2 linked regions of the Oryctolagus cuniculus genome follow. The protein of the gene in region 1 interacts with the protein of each later gene in a biochemical or structural test. Links are inferred from orthologs where the notes say so. Each region holds a gene or a part of one and is shown in the gene's direction. Other genes may lie near its edges. The genes, in order: NID1 and FBLN1.

Region 1 (9,556 bases):
CCTTTTCTTTTTTCTTTCTTTCTTTTTTTTTTTTTTTTTTTTTTAGATTTATTTATTTGAAAGGCCGAGTTACAGAGAGGCAGAGAGATAGAGGTCTTCTATCCTCTGGTTCATTCCCAAAATGGCCACAATGGCAGGAGCTGCACCAATCCCACGCCAGGAGCCAGGAGTTTTTTCTGGGTCTCCCACCTGGGTGAAGGGGCCCAAGGACTTGGGCCATCTTCTACTGCTTTCCCAGGCCACAGCAGAGAGCTGGATTGGAAGTAGAGCAGCCGGGACTCAAACCAGTACCCATATGAGATGCTGGCACCGCAGGTGGTGGCTTTACCCACTATGCCACAGCACCAGCCCCCTCCATTCTGTTTTCACATCTGCTCATCTCTTTGGAAAAGAGTTGTTTCATAAACTTTTTCTCATAGGTCTTTCTTATTTCTCTTCCTCTTTCCCCTTCTTTTCGTCCTCCAGGAACCTTTATTGGACAGACTGGAACAGAGACAACCCCAAAATCGAGACTTCCTACATGGACGGCACCAACCGCAGGATTCTTGTGCAGGATGACCTGGGCTTGCCCAACGGGCTGACCTTTGACGCGTTCTCATCTCAGCTCTGCTGGGTGGATGCAGGTGATGGCTTTCCCCTGTCCAGGGAGAGTTCTCCATCTTTGGCAGACTACAGCCTTGGCCAAATCTAACCTGCCACTTACTGTCATGTAACCCAGAAGTTTTATGGGTTTTGCATTTCAAAATGTTACATTTTGTTTTATTTGTTTTTAAAAAATTTATTTATTTATTTGAAAGTCAGAGTTCCACAGAGGGAGAAGGAGAGAGGTCTTCCATCCACTGGTTCACTCCCCAATGGGTCACAACGGCTGGAGCTGTGCAAATCCGAACCCAGGAGCCTCCTCTGGGTCTTCCCATGTGGATGCAGGGGCCCAAGTAGTCAGGCCATCTTCTGCTGCTTTCCCAGGCCATAGCAGAGAGCTGGATTGGAAGTGGAGCAGCCGGGTCTCAAACCGGCACCCATATAGGGTGCCAGTACTGCAGGCAGCAGCTTCACCTGCTACACCACAGTGCCAGCCCCAAAATGTTACATTTTAAGTTGTTGTATAAATACCTGCCTACTGTTCCTGGTTTTGCCTCACAGCCAAAGCTGTCTGACTCCTGTTCTAAGTGGTACCACACAGACCTGTAGACATCCTGATATCTGTTAAGCAATTCACAGCTTACATTTTTCATAGCTCTCTCTGTCCCCCAGAAGCTTAGGCAGGACTTGGAGCCAAGAAAGATAAAGTAAGAGCACCCACAAGCAGTCCCTGCTGTATGCCCCTTCCCTGGCAACTGTGGGGTGTCCCTCAGGCCAGGGATGTGGGCAGAATGCTCAGTCAGGGAGGAACATCTATCTTCTCTCTCCGTAGGAGTCTCTATTGAGTAATATCTGTTCCAGACACTCTGTCAGGTGCCACGTGGGATGCAGAGGCTGTGAGGCACAGTCCCCATCCTGTTAGGACAGAGTGAGGCATGAGCACTTCAGTGAAATCACGGGCCTTAAGATGCAGTCATCATGCAGGCCTTTGATGGAAGCCGGGTGCAGCTGCTCACCAGTGCTGTGGGTTAGCAATCCTTAAAGGCTCTGAATTCATAGAGCAGGAGGGGCTGGAGAAGCTTCAGGAAGGAGGAACTTGGACAAGAGCTGGAAGATGATGTATTTCCTCCCGAGAGAAAGGAGCCTGGGGGTAGGAGCAGACCTAGGCACCAGCTGCTTCCAGACCAGCTGACCTGAGTTGCATTTTCTCTGCCCCAGCCCCCGACTCCCCAGCAGAAGCAGGTGTGGGAGCCAGAGTGGCAGTGGGTATCGATCGTTGAAAGGGGCAAGGCACAGGAGCGAGAGACAGCTCTCCAGTTTTAAGACCAGGCTGCATGTATTCTCTAGGATTTGTCACTGTAATACCAAATTTCTCCCGCCTCTGCCCCTGGCACCCTCCAGTTGTGACACAAAGGGCCCACTTCTGGTGCGAACAATGAGGGACTTGTCTTTGCTGCACACAGGCACCAACCGGGCAGAGTGCCTGCACCCCAGTCAGCCAAGCAGACGCAAGGTCCTCGAAGGGCTCCAGTATCCTTTTGCTGTGACGAGCTACGGGAAGAATCTGTTCTACACAGACTGGAAGACGTAAGTTGGCTGCTGCTGAGGCTGGGCGGGCCTGTACTCCACTCTGTCTCTGGGAAGCCAGGCCCTTTCCTCTGGCCCCTTGTCTTGACCTTGACACGAAGAGATGTCCTTTCTTCCTCACCCTTGGGCTGTCAGGATGCAGGTGGGGGTGGAGGAGAAGGGAAGCAGGAGGTGCCCCTTGTCATCTGGATGCTCCTGGCAGGGCAGTTTCAAGTCTGTGAACTTGGACTTCCTGAGCACGTCTGTCCCTTCCCCCCATGTCCACTCATGCCTGTTTATGGTTCTTAAACCGCAATGTTCCCACAGCCCCTTGTTGACCACCCTTTCTGCAAAAGGAGGGGTGAAACTGAGGAGGCAGCTGGCCAAGGGCTCTGAAGAGAAAGCCCGTTTCCTGCCTGGAATTTAGAGAGGGAGGAGACAGCTGGCTGACCATCACCTTTCTTTAGGAAGCCAGAGAAATGCAGGCCTGATGCACCCCAGGAGGGAGGGATGTCTCAGGAGCAAGGCCACCATATCTGCTTATGGCCTCCAGTTTATACCCAAAACTGCAAAAAAGTCACTCCCTGGAGAAAGGTTCAAACCATCAGATGTACTTCTGAGCTCCTGACTTTTGTGCTCTGTAGGAATTCTGTGGTGGCTGTCGATCTGGCTGTTTCCAAAGAGACGGATTCCTTCCACCCCCACAAGCAGACCCGGCTGTATGGCATCACCACGGCCCTGTCTCAGTGTCCCCAAGGTAACTCGCCTGTACTGTTACTCCCCATACTCCTGGGGGCAACCTGATGATATAGAGTCCATGCTGTGGCTGCTGCCGGTATAACTGCTAGCCATCCTGTCTCTCAAGGATCTTCATTACTGAGTACATGAGCCAGGTGAATACATAGAACACACCCAGGCCTGAAGTAGACAGAGATAAAGTACTGAGTCTTGGACTGGGTCTAGAAGTATACAGTCTTCAGGTTCCAAATGGAACATTAATGTTCAGATCTCTGCTGATTTAAAGTCCATATATTTGGCCAAACAGTGATAACAATAACTAATAAAAATAATTTCAAGTATATGTTTGGCATTTACTGAGAGCTAGTAAGTTGGCATAGATCAACTCGCTTTGTATTCGTAGTTCATTTCATCCTCACAGCAGCCCTATGAGGTGGGCACTGCTGTGCTCATTTTATAAATGAGGAAATGGAAACAAGTTCAAAGTCGCACCTCTCATGGTGCCAGCCTGGCTCCAGAGTCCATACCATGCTGCCTCTCAAAGGCCTCTCCGCTTCTCTACTTTTCTCCTTCTCCCCGTTAGAGTGAAACCAGGAGTGTAAGTAGATAGAAAGTGCTCTATGCTTTAAGAGTCTGCCTCCATGTTCTAATGAGAGCTGGAGAACCCTCCCTGAGATCTGTTTTATAGCTTTAGTGGTAAGTTTGTATAGCCCCCAAATTGAGAATCAGCGTTTTTGCCTGTCTGGTTTAACAAACAACGGATTAGCTTAGCTGTTCTCTGTTCCCCTGGAATGGGCCACAATTTTGGCCTCTCAGAAAATGAAGTAAGGTTAATACGGTGTCCTGTCTCTCAGTGGCTGTTGAGTCAGGTCAGAGAAGGCTGTTGAACTGATTTCTGCCTTTTGCAGGCCACAACTACTGCTCTGTGAACAACGGCGGCTGCACTCACCTCTGCTTGGCCACTCCAGGTAGCAGGACCTGCCGTTGTCCTGACAACACCATGGGAGTGGACTGTATTGAGCGGAAATGAAGACAAGACTGCCGTGTTTCCTCTCCAAGTATTTCACAGGAGCATCCTACTTGAATCTACTTGGTCCAGACTGAAAAACTGTCCTCTGCCTGAGTGACCACTAGGTTCAGGCCCATCCCAGCCTGAGCCCCAACAACTTTCCCCCCACTATTCCCCACAACATACACTTCTTTAATGGGAAAGTTTCTCCCCCTGTATGAGGACAGAATTCCCACCCTGGCCCAACTCCAGATAAGCTTATACAAGCCTGGGTGATGATTACCTACCCCATCCCAGTTCCCTGGACCTTTCCCAAAACCTAGTCTCTCTCCCAGTGGTGAGTAGAACCAGCCAAGGCCTAAGTCATCCCCCTCTTTGTGGCCTTAAAAGCTCAGCCTCATTCTGAGGTACCTACCATCCTATCAGCTGCTTAACACACCAGCCTGGGTCTGCCTAGGTGAGGTTGTGAGTGAAGGAGGGAGTTAGCCCTCCCTTACTTTTTCTCTTGGTGCTCTGATTTCCCTCTTTATATTCCCATTTTTTTATTCCCTAGTTCCTCATCACCTTCATTCCAAGGCCCTCATTGTAATGACCATGTTCTGCCTTTTGATGAGAAATTACCCATCCTAGAGGATATATGGGTACTTTGTGGATGATAATGAGCATCCTTTTCCAGATGAGGTATTGGCATTTCAGTAGTAGCCTTTGATACTCAAAGGCTTAAGTCAAAGGAGTATCCTATGATAGGAATTTCAAAGTGTAGAGTCAGATGTTTGAGGATGAGGAATTATTTTGATGTGCCTTAAATTATACCAGAGATTACCAAAGTCATCCTGTTTTCCCAAAGCTCCTGTATTCCAGCATGTGGTCTCTGGTGCTGTGTTGGTCTTCACCTTCATTGCTAGCACTGAAGTCCACTCTCCTCATGGAGATTTGTCTGAGGTCTGAGACAGACACAGTTTAGAGCTGGTACAAGGTGATGACTTAACCAGTTCATCAGTTTTTGTCTTTGCTCCAGAGAACCAATTTATAAATAACCATGAATCTGCTTATCCTTTTGTTCTCCATCTTTGAACTTTAGTGGCTAAATGTGCATCTAAAGACACAGTATAGGAAGAGCAAATTGAATAATTATCTTAATGGTCCAGACTCTTTATTGCTCGTTTGTCTAATTAAAGGGACCACTGCTACATTTCATATTTATGTTTTTACAATTTGTTTAGAGAACCTCTTCCATTAGTAGCTAGTGTTGTCTTTTGTCAACTGCTTCCCAGAGTCCTAAAGCAATAGAAATTTTGGACTGAAAGTTGAGCATAAGGTGTTTGAGTCAATAAAGGATGGGATAAGGGAGTACAGAAGACTCAAAGTGTCATGAAGAGATTATCCAAGAGCAGGAATGGAAAGCCCAAGAGAAATGGGTGAGGGGAGGGGATTTATGAATGGCAATTAAAAAAAAACCTTAAATAACTACACAGAGAAAATAACACATTTTGCCAAAGAACACTTATACTTGAGAACATAGAAAAAATTTTCCTGAAATTCTCCTTGGACAAGAGATCCCTCCCCATTTCTTCAAATCCCAGTGTACTCAATGCCTCCACCTACATACCCTCCTACCATTGTCCTCACTTGCTTGTGCAGCACATTGGAAACTAAGTTGGGAGAAAGTGTTTCCTTAAATGATTGGAGTTTGTCTTCAGAGTCAATTTTGTCCCCAACAATCATAAGCTTTGGGGAACATCTGAGTCTTTTATATAGTGCAACCTCATAAATTACTCTTTCTTCTTGTATTTATCATTCCATATCAAGCCTTCTGTATCAAATGTTCATCATGATTTTATAAGTTTTATAACTATTTTATTCACTTTACTAGATTCATTCTAAAAGTTTTTAAATGGTAAATTCCTAAACTGTGGAAACCTCTGAAGGTGCTTAATAACTGTTGCCCCAGATTTATACAAATATTTGATGATTCCTTGAGTTTATCACCATACAAATACTTGTACATGAAATAAAAAAAACTTTTGTTAAAAAAATCTTTATCTTTTTTGAGTTAAGAGATTTGATGTTGATAGGGTAATTCATGGCAGACATACAGCCAGGGTCCAGTGTTGTGGCACAGTAGGTTAAGAGGCCACCTGCAGTGCCAACATCCCATATGGGTGCTGGTTTGAGTCCCAGCTGCTCCACCTCTGATCCATCTACCTGCTAATGTGCCTGGGAAAGCAATGGAAGATGGCCCAATTATTTGGACCCCTGCCACTCACATAGAAAACCCAGATGGAATTCCAAGCTCTTGACTTCAGCTGGGGTGGCCATTTCAGGATTGAACCAGCTGATGGGAAATCCTTCTTTCTGTAACTCTTCGTTTCAAATATGTAAGTAAATCCTTTTTTTAAAAGCCATTTAATAGGCTTCAAAAACCTAAAGATTCAGAAAGTCTTACTCCACTGTTATAACAGGTGATATATTTTGTGAACACAAGTTTACAAAAGATTTACGGGATTGTAATTGACTTAAAATTAATGATGTCACAGATACCAAACCACCCTTTTGGACATTGCATTCATTTTTTTTTTTTTTTGGAAAAATGTATTCTAGTTACAAGCAATACAGAGGTTCCAAATTCAGCTCTTAAGATGAGCTATGGAGCCGGCGCCGTGGCTCAATAGGCTAATCCTCCGCCTTGCGGCGCCGGCACACCGGGTTCTAGTCCTGGTTGGGGCGCCGGATTCTGTCCTGGTTGCCCCTCTTCCAGGCCAGCTCTCTGCTATGGCCAGGGAGTGCAGTGGAGGATGGCCCAGGTGCTTGGGCCCTGCACCCCATGGGAGACCAGGAAAAGCACCTGGATCCTGGCTCCTGCCATCGGATCAGCGCGGTGCGCCGGCTGCAGCGGCGGCCATTGGAGGGTGAACCAACGGCAAAGGAAGACCTTTCTCTCTCTGTCTCTCTCTCTCACTGTCCACTCTGCCTGTCAAAAATTAAAAAAAAAAAAAAAAATAAATAAATAAAGAAAGAAAAAAGAAAGATGAGCTATGTATTTTATCCCCCTCCTCACTTTTGACCATCAAGTGAGACCATTGATAGGCATCACCATCCATGCCAGTCCATGAGTGGGATGAGAATGGCAACTGACTTGGACAGAGCGGAAGGAGCTTGAAGTTGTAGGAACGAGGCGCCCAGAGCTCAGTTGTAACAGAAGGAAACTGGTACTTCGGCTTCCCCGTGAAAGATGCAATTGACAGAATCAGCATGCAGCCTGCCAGTATGAGTTGGGTGGAAGGGAAAATTTTTATTGGGACTAAAATTCCCAGAGTTCTGGTCAAAAAAATCTAGGTACCTAAAGATGACATCAGGAAAGATGGTGGAGTAGGAAGTGCCAAGAATCAAACCCTTTATCCAAATAGCGATTGAACTGACAGGGGCTGACTGAGCCAGCTATTTTGGAAGTCTGGTTTTAGCAGACCCATTGCAGCACCAGCAGAGAGCTTAGAAGAAGCTAGTAAGCCTGAGTCAATTTTAGTACTTTTTTTTTTTTTTTTTGACAGAGTGGACAGAGAGAGAGAGAAAGGTCTTCCTTTGCCCTTGGTTCACCCTCCAATGGCCACCGTGGCTGGCGCGGTGCGGCCGGCGCACCACGCTGATCTGATGACAGGAGCCAGGTACTTATCCTGGTCTCCCATGGGGTGCAGGGCCCAAGCACTTGGGCCATCCTCCACTGCACTCCCAGGCCACAGCAGAGAGCTGGCCTGGAAGAGGGGCAACCAGGACAGAATCCGGCGCCCCGACCGGGACTAGAACCCGGTGTGCCAGTGCTGCAAGGTGGAGGATTAGCCTGTTGAGCCGCGGCACCGGCAATTTTAGTTCTTTCTTATAAGTGGCTACTATGCCCCATCAGGCAGCCACATTCCTGGTGTGCCTTGCTGGAGCCAGAGTGGATAGTCAGACTTTGTTCTCCAAAACTCAGATTTATTGGTCTGATTACCAGTTGCTGCTTTTGATCGTTGATGGGCCAGCACATAATAAAATCTTCATGACACTGGATTTAGCAATGATTTCTTGGGAATAATACCAATAGCACAAGCAATAGAAGAAAAATAGGTAAATAGGACTTAAAAAGATTTGTGCATCAAAGGATACTATCAACAGAATAAAAAGACAACAATTTGGAGAAAATACCTTCAAATCTTACATCTCTTATGACATCCAGAATATTCAAAGAACTCCCTCCTGCCACTTAACAACAAGCCATTCCAAAATAAGTAAAGCGTGGGCACTCTGGCATAAGTGGTAAGCTGCCACCTGCAATGCTGGCATCCTATATGGGTGCCAGTTCCAGTCTCAGCTGCTCTACTTCCAATCCAGCTCTTTGCCATGGCCTGGGAAAGCAGTAGAGGATGGCCCAAGTCCTTGGGCCCCTGCACCCACGTGTGAGACCCAGAAGAAGCTTCTGGCTCCTGGCTTTGGATCAGCGCAGCTCTGGCTGTTGTGGCCATCTGGGTATGAAGCAGTGGATGGAAGACCTCTCTCTCTACCTCTGCCTCTCTGTAACTCTGCCTTTCAAGTAAATAAATAAATTTTTTTAAAAAAATAAGTGATTAGAATAAATGTATTTCCAAAGGAGAATTACAAATGGACATTTAGGCATAAGAAAGATGCTCAATATCATTAGTCATTACAGAAATGCTAATCAAAACCACAACTTGATATTACTTCACACCCTTTCGAATGGCTATTATCAAAAACAAGTGTTTAGGAGGATGTGGAGAAATTGGAACCCTTGTTCATTGCTATTTGAAATGCAAAATGGGGCAGACCCTGTGGAAAACAGTTCAGTGGTTCCACAAAAAACTGAATATAGAATTGCCATATGTTCCAGCAGTTCTACTCCTAGGTATCTACCTGTCGCTCCCCTATTCACGGAGGAATGACACAGGACCCTGCGCTGTTCTTTTGTCTGCTCGGCCCTTCCCGGGTTTGCTGCTGGTCCTTCCCGGGTTGGCTGCCGACACCTCCACCCCCGTGGAGGGACGGCTCCCCCTGCCACTTTCCCCGCTTCCGCGGAGAAGCGGCACACCGTCGGCTGGCTCTCTCGGGGGCTGCTCAGCTGTCCCTTCAGATGTTCCCCGGTGCTTGTTGTCTCTCTCCTCCTTTATAGTCCTCTTCCACCACACGCCGAGCACGCTGCTCTCCTCCAATCAGGAGCAGGATCAGCTCCTGCAGCTTGTCAAACTGATGAGGCAGCTGCATAGAAGTTGTTTGGTCTCTTTCTCTCAGCGCCATATTGTGGGAGAGCAGATGCATAGAATAAGTCTTAATTCCAGTAACTTAGTCTAGTCTCAGTTGCTCCCCACATCTACCCAAAAGAATTAAAAGCAGGGGCTGAAACTTACGTGCCAGTATTCTTTGCAGGATTGCTTACCCCAGCCAAAAGGTAGAAACAACCCAAATGTCTATCAACAGATGAATGGATAAAAAAATGAAATGTGGTATATCTATAAAATAGAATGTTATCCAACCATAAAGGGGATGAACTTTGAAGACATGCTACATGATGTAAGCCAGACACAAATATGACATGATTTCACTCCTAAGGTAGCTGTACCTCAAATTCATTGAGACAAAGTAAATTAGAGCTTAGGATATGGGAGGGGGGGATGG
Region 2 (9,821 bases), on another chromosome or scaffold:
TCCATCTGCTGGTTCACGCCTCAAATGCCCACAACAGCCTGGGCTGAGCCAGGCCAAAGCCAGGAGCCAGGAGCTTCTTCTGGGTCTCCCGTGTGGGTGCAGGGGCCCAGGTACTTGGACCCTCTTCCACTGCTTTCCCAGACGGTGGCAGAGAGCTGGATCGGAAGTGGAGCAGCCGGGACTAGAGCCAGCCAGCGCTGCAGACAGAGGCTTAGCCTACCGCACCACAGTGCCGGCCCTTCTTCTCTGCCTTTTCGATAGGGACATACTCTCCATCAGGTCACTGAATACCAGTTTAATGGAAGCCAATGGCACAGACTGTAAATGGGCTGCTGTCGGACACCGCACTTTTCCCAGATTTTCACTGTCGTAAATAATTCTGCTGTTGCAAAAATAAATGAGAAGTTACGAAAGAGGCACAGCGTGGCTAACATGCGTACATAGAACGTTCCGCCACTGCTGAGAACACACTGGGAAAGCGGACAGTGGCGGAAGGGCCCGGGCCGCCAAGGATGCATCGGGGCGGCTGCACATTCGCCATCCTCTGGGTGCCGCCAGGGCTCCTGCACGGCTTCGGGGCCAGAAGAGCAGATTCGGGCGAGCTGGGAGCATGCGTGATTTATGCCTGTGCCAAAGTCAAACAATGTCCCAGCAGGGGAGGGTAGCCGAGTGGCCGTGCGTCCACGCATGTGTGTGCGACCTCAGGTCCTCACCGGACAAAGAGCTGCCTGTGACGTCCAGAGAAACAGACCCTTCCACACAAGCGGCCCAGGGACGAGCCAGGGTGGGAAACCCGGTGGCCAGGCTGCCAATCTCCAGCGCTGAGGCTCCTGGGTCAGGGACCTGGCACTTGGTTACTCCTGGACACCAGCACCAGGTGCCCCTGTCTCCCAAGAGCCCCCGGAGCGGGGGACAGGACACATGAGGGTGTCTACACACGCGAGGGGCTGCATTACCCAGGACTTTCATTGCTTCGTTTTGTTTTTAAGATTTATTTACTCATTTGAAAGTCAGGGCGACAGAGATGGGAAGGCAGGGAGGAGACGGGGGGGAGGGGATCTTCTATCTGCTGATTCATTCTCCATAGTTGGGCCAGGCCAAAGCCAGGAGCCAGGAACTCCATCCTGGCCTCCTATGGGGGTGTCAGGGGCCCAAGTTCTTGGGCCAGCATCCACTGCCTTCCGAGGCACGTTAGCAGGGAGCTGGACCTGCAGCAGCACGGCCACGACTCAACCAGCACTCAGATAGGGGACGCCAGTGTCACAGCAGCCACGTCACAGCCCCCAGCCCCCGAGGCTTCCGTCTAAGCACAGGCAGGAAGGACGGACAGGGCGCTGACGTCCAGCGCCCAGGGTGGTCGCCTCTGGGTGTAGCTCGGTGGGAAGAGCCTCAGGTTCCTGACTTTCCCGTAACTCCGAGTGTGCCTGGGGGAAGGAGGCCTCGAATGAGCCGGGCCGGGGTCTGGGGAGGTATCCGGGCACCCCGTTCATTGTGCAGACAGGGAAACTGAGGCCACAAAGATTCGTCCTACAGAGCAAGGCGGGGCCAGGGCTGCTCCCCTCCTCCGGCCCTGAGGGTGCCCCGCTTTTACCTCCACCAGCCCCAGCGGCTGCCAGCGAGGTCAGTGGGTGGTGACCCCTCCACAGGAGTCATCTTGGATTCTCACAGTCACAGAGGCCCCATCGCTGGCCACCTTAGAGGATGCCAACCGGCCACACAGCAGGAAGTGGCACAGCCTGGACGGGAACCAGGTGGGTGGGCTCGACCTCAGAGTCTGACTCTTCCCCACTCTCTCAGATGTGCCCATGGGTGCCCGTGTTCCCGACCCTTGGTGGCCGAGGGACAGGGACATCTGGTGGGGCTGTGGGTGGTGAGTGCGGGACCAGTGGCTGGGTCCCGCCCTTCTCAGCTGCAGGCTGGCGCGCGGGGAGTCAGTCCCCAGGGCTGTGCTGGTGCCATCTTCGCACTCAAATGCAGGCATGAGTGGCAGGCACCTCAGCTACTCCGTTTCCTTCCCCCGATGTCTTCTCAGCTACCCACGGCGGATGCTCCCTCCCCAGCCTCACAAAGGGACCCTGCAGATGACCAGTGTCACCTGCTGCAGCCCCCATGGCCCCTGGCAGGCGTGGCCTCGTGGCCAGGGGGTCACCTGGGCAGCGCCGGGCAGTCATTGGACCCCTCTGGGTTATCCGTCTCTGGATCTCCTCCTGTCTTCTTTCTCAGTCACCTCCCCCTCCCCTCATACCAAGTTAAGACCCCAAAGTACTAACGCATTTCCACTCTGTGCAGCCCAGGGCCCTGGCTCCCCACAGCACGGGCTGTGTGCGCCCAGGTACCCCAGGCCACCCCTGCTCAGGACGCACGGCTCGTCTTCCTGAGCTGCCTGGGGCCTCTGAGCCTCTGCAGGGGCCGATCCCTGGGCCCTTCACCCCTTTCCACCCCTTTCCCCACAAGGGCCAGTCCCAGAGGCCTCTCTCACAAGCTGTCCTGGGCTCCCGGCAAACCTCAGACCTCCGAGGCACCCTGTGTGGAAGAGATGTGGGTTTTGATTGGAACCCAACGCTCACTTGGGAAAGAGCACACGGAAACAGCTCGGTGCACCCGACCTCGGAACCACGCCCCAGTGAAATCACCGGAAAGTGCCCTCAGCCTCCCTCCAGCCCCGGGGGCCACCCCAGGAGCACCCTCTCCCGCCCTCTGACCTGTTCCTGTCCCATATGGAAGGGGATCCTGCAGCCAATGCCCTGGTGGCTGGCCCGGGACGGCGCCTGCTCCAGGGGTCACGGGGCTCCACACGTGTGCGCACTCTGCCGGGAAGCCTTGGTGGATGTCGGCTGTAACCAAAGCCGTGCACTTCTGCTAGGCAGAAACCCGTGAGGGGAGGTGCTGGCTCCTGGGACCCAGTCCACGAAGTGGCTGTGGTCTCACCCCTCGCTCCCACCTTCACCTGCCCCAGGGCCCGCCTCCCCCACCCCACCCCCATTTGAAAAAATAAATCTGCTTGTGATCCCAACAGACCAGCCCACCCTCAGTCACCCCGGCCCAGCTGCAGCCCCGATTCCAGCACGAAGCGGGTGCTGCAGGCCCAGCCAAGGCTGCCTCCTCGGCTTCCCGGGTCCAAGCGTGCCCGGCTCATTCTGCCGCCTGGCCGGCTGGCAGCGCCCCAGACCCCGGGGCCGGCGGCGAAGGCCGGAACGGAGCAGAAGGGGTGGGGTGCGGGGCTCGTCCGCGGGAGCCCCGAGCGGGCTGCACCCTCGGCCGCGCTCCAAAGGCGCCGAGTCCGATCCCGAGCCCGCGCCCGGCCCGCGGGGGCCGAGGGGATCGGGTTTCACGCGCGCGGAGGGGGGCGGGTGGAGGCGCATCCGGCCCGAAGGCGCCCCCGTCTCTGCCCCTCCAGGGAAGCCCGGGGCCCGGAGCGGGAGAGGGGAGGGTCCCGCCGGCCCCGCCTCCGCCGCGCCCTCCTCCCGGGCGGGATAATTGAACGGCGCGCCCGGGCCCGGCGTTGGCTGCCGAGCCTCGGCCCGAGCGTGGAGCGCGCGCCGCACGCCGCGCCCGCCGAGCCAGGAGCCGCCCGCGCCTTTGTCCCTGCCGGCCCCATGGAGCGCGCCGCGCCGTCGCGCCGGCTCCCGCTGCCGCTGCTGCTGCTCGGCGGCCTCTCGCTGCTGGCGGCCCGAGGTAGGGCGTCCCCGCCACCGCCCCGCGCCGGGGGGTAGTCGTGGAGAGGCCGGGGTCGGGCCGGTGCGCTCCCCGGGACCGTCGTCGTGCGGTCCCCTGAGCAGCGGGGCTGCCCAGACCCGGGCGACGTCTCCGGGCCTCCCCCAACTCCCGGCCCAGCCCGAATGCCGGCCTGTCTGGGGGGGTTGCTTCCAAGGCGGGACCCCTCCCACGCCCGCGCTCCGGCCTCAGCCCCCGCAGATGGAGCCGGCTCCGAGGGCCCTTCCCGGGCCTTGGCGATGGGGGCGCTGGCTGCGGGTTACCGAGCCCCCCGCCTTGCACTGGGAGCCTCCTTAGTGTGTCTTTCAGTGCCCCAGCTTGCGAATGGGGAACGGACCCCGGTGGGGAGCCGTCGGGTAAGGGGGTTGGGGGAGGCTGCAGACCCGGGCCCTCCTCTCTGCCTGCCCTCCTGCCCACCAGGCCCCACGCTTCGCTAGGACTTGGCTTAGGCGGCTTCCAGACCTACCCACTGTGTGACAAGGGGGGGATGGAGCCCCCTGCAGCAGGTCCCGGCCCAGAATTCCCTCCCCAGCCCCCCAGGCTGACAGCATGGGGTTGGTGGCCACCCAGGCTGCGCCCTTCTGGCTCCTGGGTTCAGAGGTCCGGTGGATCAGAGCCGCTTGGGGGGCGGGGGAGCCATGACCTGCGACCTCTCTGCTGACCCCATGGCTTCCTGGGGCCGGCAGTCAGGCCTGGCCCTGCTGGAGTGTTTGTTTCTCCCCAGGGCCAGGGCAGCTTCTTTATGCCTTGTTTAGTTTCTTTTGAAGTCGCTAGTGTTCACAGGCCTCCTTGGTCGGAAGGTCGCGGCTGAGGAGGGGGCTGGGCTGTGGCGGCGGCCTCTGGGGCTGATAGCTGTTCTGGGCGCTGGCTGTGTCCTGGGCCACTTCTCCAGCTTGGAGGTGGCTTGGGGAGGCACAGGGCTCCCAGGAGGCCTCTTGGGCAGGCCTGCAGGTGGTCCGGCAGGAGAGACCTCCCAAAGGGGCTTGGGAGTGGGGGGCACCCGGAGAGGAAGGGGGCGTCCAGAGAGAAGGCTGAGTTCAACTCTCAGGGGACTTGGAGACCCCAAGCCCCTCCCCTCCCCCACATTCTTTTGTGCCTGATAACTTTGTCCCTGTGCTTTGAAGGAGCACCGTAAGGGCATACAAAGTGTCCTCCATGAAGTCTGGGTGGTCCCATGGTCCTGTGTTTGGGGAGCACCCTCTTGGAGTTTGTTTGCGCGGTCTGGTCTGGGGAGAGGGGGTTAAAAGACAGCCTGGCTGCTCTCCGCTGCTGCAGGCCGGGCCGGGCGCCTGGCAGCCAAGGCCCCTGCAGCCCTGCAGGGTCGTAGGTGGCACAGCCCTGCACCCTGGAGAGCTGCGGGGTACACAGGGAAACCACACTTTGACCGCAGCCGTGAAGGCGAGCCGATGGAGAGCGCCGGAGCCACTGTGCTGACAGGCCCTTGGCGAGGGCCACCTGGCCACTGGCGGGCCGCGGGGCACGGCGGAGCCGCCTGTCTGTCCTCTGTCTGTCTGCCCTGTTGGGCTTTACCCAGAGCTGGGGCGGGAGGCGGGGGCGGGGAGGAGCAGGGGTCGGGCGGACGAGTGTGTTTTCTCCAAGACTTTCTTGGCCTCTGGTTTCGACTGATTAAAAGAAAAGTCGCGCCGGGAGGGAGAACAAAGGCTAGAGAGAACTTGGCTTACAAACATGTGGCCTGGGCCGCTGCCCTTCTGGAAGGTTCCCAGCTGGGAGGTGGGGCCCAGAGCTCTGAACGCTTGAAGGACCAGACTGGGGGGCACCAGGGAGGGCTCCCCTGCTGGGCCCAGGGCTGATGGCCCCCTCCCCCAGCACAGCTGCCTTTGCCTCCCCCAAGGACTGGTGGGAGGGAGCTGGGGATGAGGGGGCAGCTCAGGCTCAGGTCCCAGCAGGGTGCCATGAGTGGGTGCGCCAGCCTCATCCACAGTGGTCTGGTGGTTTTCTCCATGGCCTGGTGGGGGCGGCCACACCTCCCGGTAGGACGGAGGGAGAGCGCTCGGAGCTGGAGCTGTCTGCTGCGTGCACAGGGTCCCCTCTCCCAGGGCCGGGACAGAGCCAGCGTCCCGGACTCAGCTGCAAATCCCAATACTGGGCTTCCCCAGCCGGACGCTTCCTGGGAAGGAGACCGCAGAGCCAGCAGCTTCCGAGTGCCAGTCTCGGGTTGGCACCGGTCCTGCCACCCGGTCCTGCTGAGTGGTGTCTTTGGGCCTTCGGTCATTGGTTTGCTCAGCGTCGGCTCTGGGTCTTGGGGAGACCCAGCTCTGCCACCCCGTGCCGCTCGGGCTCCCAGATGAACCAGAAAAAGGAGCCCAGCCCTCCTGGCAGAGTCTGGAAGGACTTCCTGGAGGAGGTAGATGCACCCCGGGGCCTCAAGGAGGAGAGGCATGGGCAGGGACTCCAGGAGGCGTAGCCCCTCCCCACGGCTGGGAAAGACCCCTGCCCGCCCGGTACTCCCCGAAGGCCAGCCTCTTAGCCGTGGGCACGGTGGGCAGGGCAGCGTTACAGGTCAAGTGTTATGAAAACAGCTCTAACAGACACCTCAGAGTTTTGCCAGTGGATTTTGTACAATAAAAGGCTTTCCTTTTGCAAAATATAAAACTGTAGCAATTTGATTAATAGATGCTCTTGCAGTCCCCGGATGGCGCCAGTTTCTAGGCGATGATTTCAGATGTGGCCACACAGCAGATCCGGGGTGGAGGAGGAGGACAGGAGCCTGTTGTGGACTGGCCTGGGATCAGAGGCTGGGAGCCTGCTGAGGTCGTCTGCCCCAAGTCCGCCACATCCGGGAGCGGATAGGGCTGGCCGCCCCCACCCGCCCTTAATCCTTGGGTTCTAACTCCAGGGTGGGTCAGGAGGGTGGGGTACCTGCTGCTCCAGCTGCGCGCTGGAGGGTCCTGCTTTGTGGGGACCGGCATTCGGTGGGGCTGTTTAGGAGACCGGTGCCCCGGTGCCAGCTCTGGAAGCTCTTTGCCCGGCTCCCGTGACCCTCTGCGTCCATTTCCTTTGTGTGAGTTGAGGGCGGCTTTGCTCTGGGCGACTCTCCTAGCTGGACTGCTTCACGTTTAGTCTCCAATGGATCCTCCCCACAGCCCTGCTACCTCAGAGGTCCAGTACTTTTCCTTTTGGGTCTCGTCCCCGGCTGGAGTGAGACTAGATGTGCACTTTGCTACCCAGTGGCTACTGGCTGTGGCCTGTGGCTTCCCTCCGGATGCACTGGGTGCTGCTCCTGTGAGCTACTGGGGTGGGAGCGGAAACCCCGCACCTGTCGCTTTGCACCTGCGCCCCACCTGTGCTGCCTCCCTGCGCCCTGAAGGCAACCCTGGAGGGAGGCACTGCCCTTACCTGTATATATTTAAAGATTTATTTATTTATTTGAAAGGCCGAGTTGTACAGAGGCAGAGGCAGAGAGACAGAGGTCTTACCGAACCACTGGATCACTCCCCACAACAGCTGGAGCTGAGCCGATCTGAAGCCAGGAGCCAGGAGCTTCTTCCGGGTCTCCCATGCCGGTGCAGGGGCCCAGGGACTTGGGCCATCTTCTACTGTTTTCCCAGGCCATAGCAGAGAGCTGGATTGGAAGAGGAGCAGCCAGGACTTGAACCGGCACCCATAGGGGATGCCGGCACTGCAGGTGGTGGCTTTACCCACTAAGCCACAACACCAGCCCCTCTGGAGTTTAATAACAGGCAGGGGTGTGAACTCTTAAGCCAGGGTTGGATCTGAAGCTCCTCTGGTTTGGTGCTGTGGCCTCTGGGGAGTTGCTGCTGCTGTCTGCCCCTAATTGAGCACACGATTTCATTTGCTCATTCATTCATTCACACACAGTGATCGACGGCTCAGGGGCAGACATGGGCAGGGTGCAGGAGACAGAGCCCATCCCAGCCCTCGTGGCGCCAACTAGAGTTAATTATTTGTGTGCAATTCAGGGAACAAAGGAATCGGCTCTGTCGTGTGTGTGTGTGTGTGTGTGTGTGTGTGTGTGTGTTGGGGGGTGGTCAGGGAGGACCTCTTGGAGAAGGCGAGCTTTGCACCGGTGTGGTGGTCTGAGGACAGGAGCTGGCCAGGGACTACCTGGCCTGCCCAGCGCTGTCATCGAAGGCCAGGCATGGAGGGTGCAGGTGCAGTGGCCAGAGGGAAGCTGCAGAGGTGTCAGGGTGAGGGCAGCCTGTGAGTGCACTGCCTGGGGGGGAGCCAGATGCTTCCCCCCTCCCCCCAGACGTGCCTAGTGCCTCCCTCTGCGCCAGACCCCCAGACCCCCGTCTCTGTGATGGACGCTGGGAGCGCTCTCAGGACTGGTGCCTGGGGGCGTGTGAGCTCCTGGGGAGGCTGGCAGGCTGGGGGCGGCGTGGAGCGGGGGTCCGTTCACCTCCTGGGCCTGCACGGATGCAGAGGCACTGGGACGACCACGCTGGGCCCCTTCTGGCTTCCCAGGCCCGGGTAGGGCGGCCTGAGTCTTGCCCAGTCCCGTCTCATTGGCGTTTCCTGTCCGGCTCTGTGGCTGGTGAGGAGCTGCCCTTCAGGCCTCACCGTCCATGGGTCCTGGGCGGGGTGGGGGTGTTTCTTTCCAGGAGGGGGGTGGGGGCTGTGGGCCGCGCGCATCACATCAGGTGCGCTGACTCTGCGGGAAGGAATGCCCTGGCCCTGACGTGAGGACTTCTCCGATTTTGAAGATTCCGTTTTTCTCTGCTGATTCCAGCATTTTCCCTGGCTGACCTCATTCGTCTTCCCAGCCCCGCGGCAGGCACTGTTAGCACCTGCACTGTGCAGGTGGAGACAGAGGGAGGCTCGGAGAAGTCCCGTGGGCGCCGAGCCGGAGCCAGGCTCGAGGCCGGGCCGTCTGCCTGAGTGTGGCCTCGGGTTTGTGCCGAGTTTTATGCTTGTGGATTGTGCCACAGACCGACGTGGGTGATTGCGGTTTCTTCCCAAAACAGATCAGCCCTGGACCCCACTTTCTTCCTCTCTTTTTTTTTTTTTTTTTGCAGATTTATTTATTTATTTGAAAGGCAGAGAGGCAGAGGCAGAAAGAGAGAGGTCTTCCATCCGCTGGTTCACTCCCCAGATGGCCACAATGGCCGGAGCTGAGCCCATCTGAAGCCAGGAGCTTCTTCCAGGTCTTCCACGTGGGTGGAAGGACTTGGGCCATCTTCCACTGCCGGGAAGTGGAGCAGCCGGGACTCGAACCAGCGCCCATATAGGATGCCAGCTCTGCAGGTGGCAGCTTTATCCACTATGTCATAGCACCACCTGCCCCCCCTTTTAATTAGATTTATTTGAAAGGCAGAGTTACAAAGAAGCAGAGGCGAGAGAGGCCCCACTTTCTTAACAGCACCTGCAGGCCAGTGCCAGGGGTGCTGGGTGGGCCTGGGTGGGGGCTTGGGCGGGTTCCTTTCCAGCTGTGGGTTGAATTCCCTAAGCATTCGTAGTCGGCACCTGGAGGATGGGCATGGCTTCCCTGACATCCTGTGGCCTCTGGGCCAGGATGTGGAGTTGCAGGGTGTCCTGGATAAACCCCGCTGACTGTACCTGCGGGGCATCTCACCGCTGTCCACGCCACGACCTGTGTGAGGGCTGCTCTGCTCGGGCGCTGGGGTGTGTGGGCGACCGGTGCCCCTCCACGGGTACTGCCGGCCACCGAGTGACTGGTGAGGCTGCCGGACGCTGTCAACCACTTCCCAGCCGCTTGGTTCCCGTGAGATGTGGGCGGAGGTGGGAGGACCCCTGTCCCCTCCCCAGCCTTGCCAGGAGGCCCCGAGGGCGTTGAGGGGCTCCTCTGTGGGCCCCGGCTGGCCCCCACTTTCGTGATGGGGCAGAAGGGCTCTGGCCGCTGCTCCTCAGATCGCCGCAGGGGCTGTGGCCACCAGGCCCCTGTGCTGGCCGCCTCACTGGACTCGCAGGGAGCTGCCTTCCCCCTCGGGGGGGTTCTCATTTTTGTTTTTAAAAACTTTTGAAGTCCTGTTTATTTTGGTTACAGAGGTACAGTTTGTTACTGGACGTTTGAACTGTTCCTGTTTGAAGTTGCACAGCTTGCCGCGTAAACCGTTAGAACATTCCAGAGACCGTTAACCAGCCGCTCTTCACAGGGCTCGTGTTAG

Evidence for each region.
Region 2: the proteins of NID1 (region 1) and FBLN1 form a complex in vitro, tested with the Homo sapiens proteins (3 studies listed by BioGRID). The link is inferred for Oryctolagus cuniculus from reciprocal best matches to the Homo sapiens genes NID1 and FBLN1.

The regions. Positions count from the first base shown.
Region 1 is NC_091444.1:55,266,718-55,276,273, reverse strand, and holds the end of NID1 (nidogen-1), read left to right. Parts: intron 1-465; coding exon 466-623; intron 624-2,045; coding exon 2,046-2,169; intron 2,170-2,792; coding exon 2,793-2,905; intron 2,906-3,794; coding exon 3,795-3,916; 3' UTR 3,917-5,931; downstream 5,932-9,556. UniProt on the Homo sapiens protein: Sulfated glycoprotein widely distributed in basement membranes and tightly associated with laminin. Also binds to collagen IV and perlecan. It probably has a role in cell-extracellular matrix interactions.
Region 2 is NC_091442.1:120,186,104-120,195,924, forward strand, and holds the start of FBLN1 (fibulin-1), read left to right. Parts: upstream 1-3,013; 5' UTR 3,014-3,596; coding exon 3,597-3,675; intron 3,676-9,821. UniProt on the Homo sapiens protein: Incorporated into fibronectin-containing matrix fibers. May play a role in cell adhesion and migration along protein fibers within the extracellular matrix (ECM).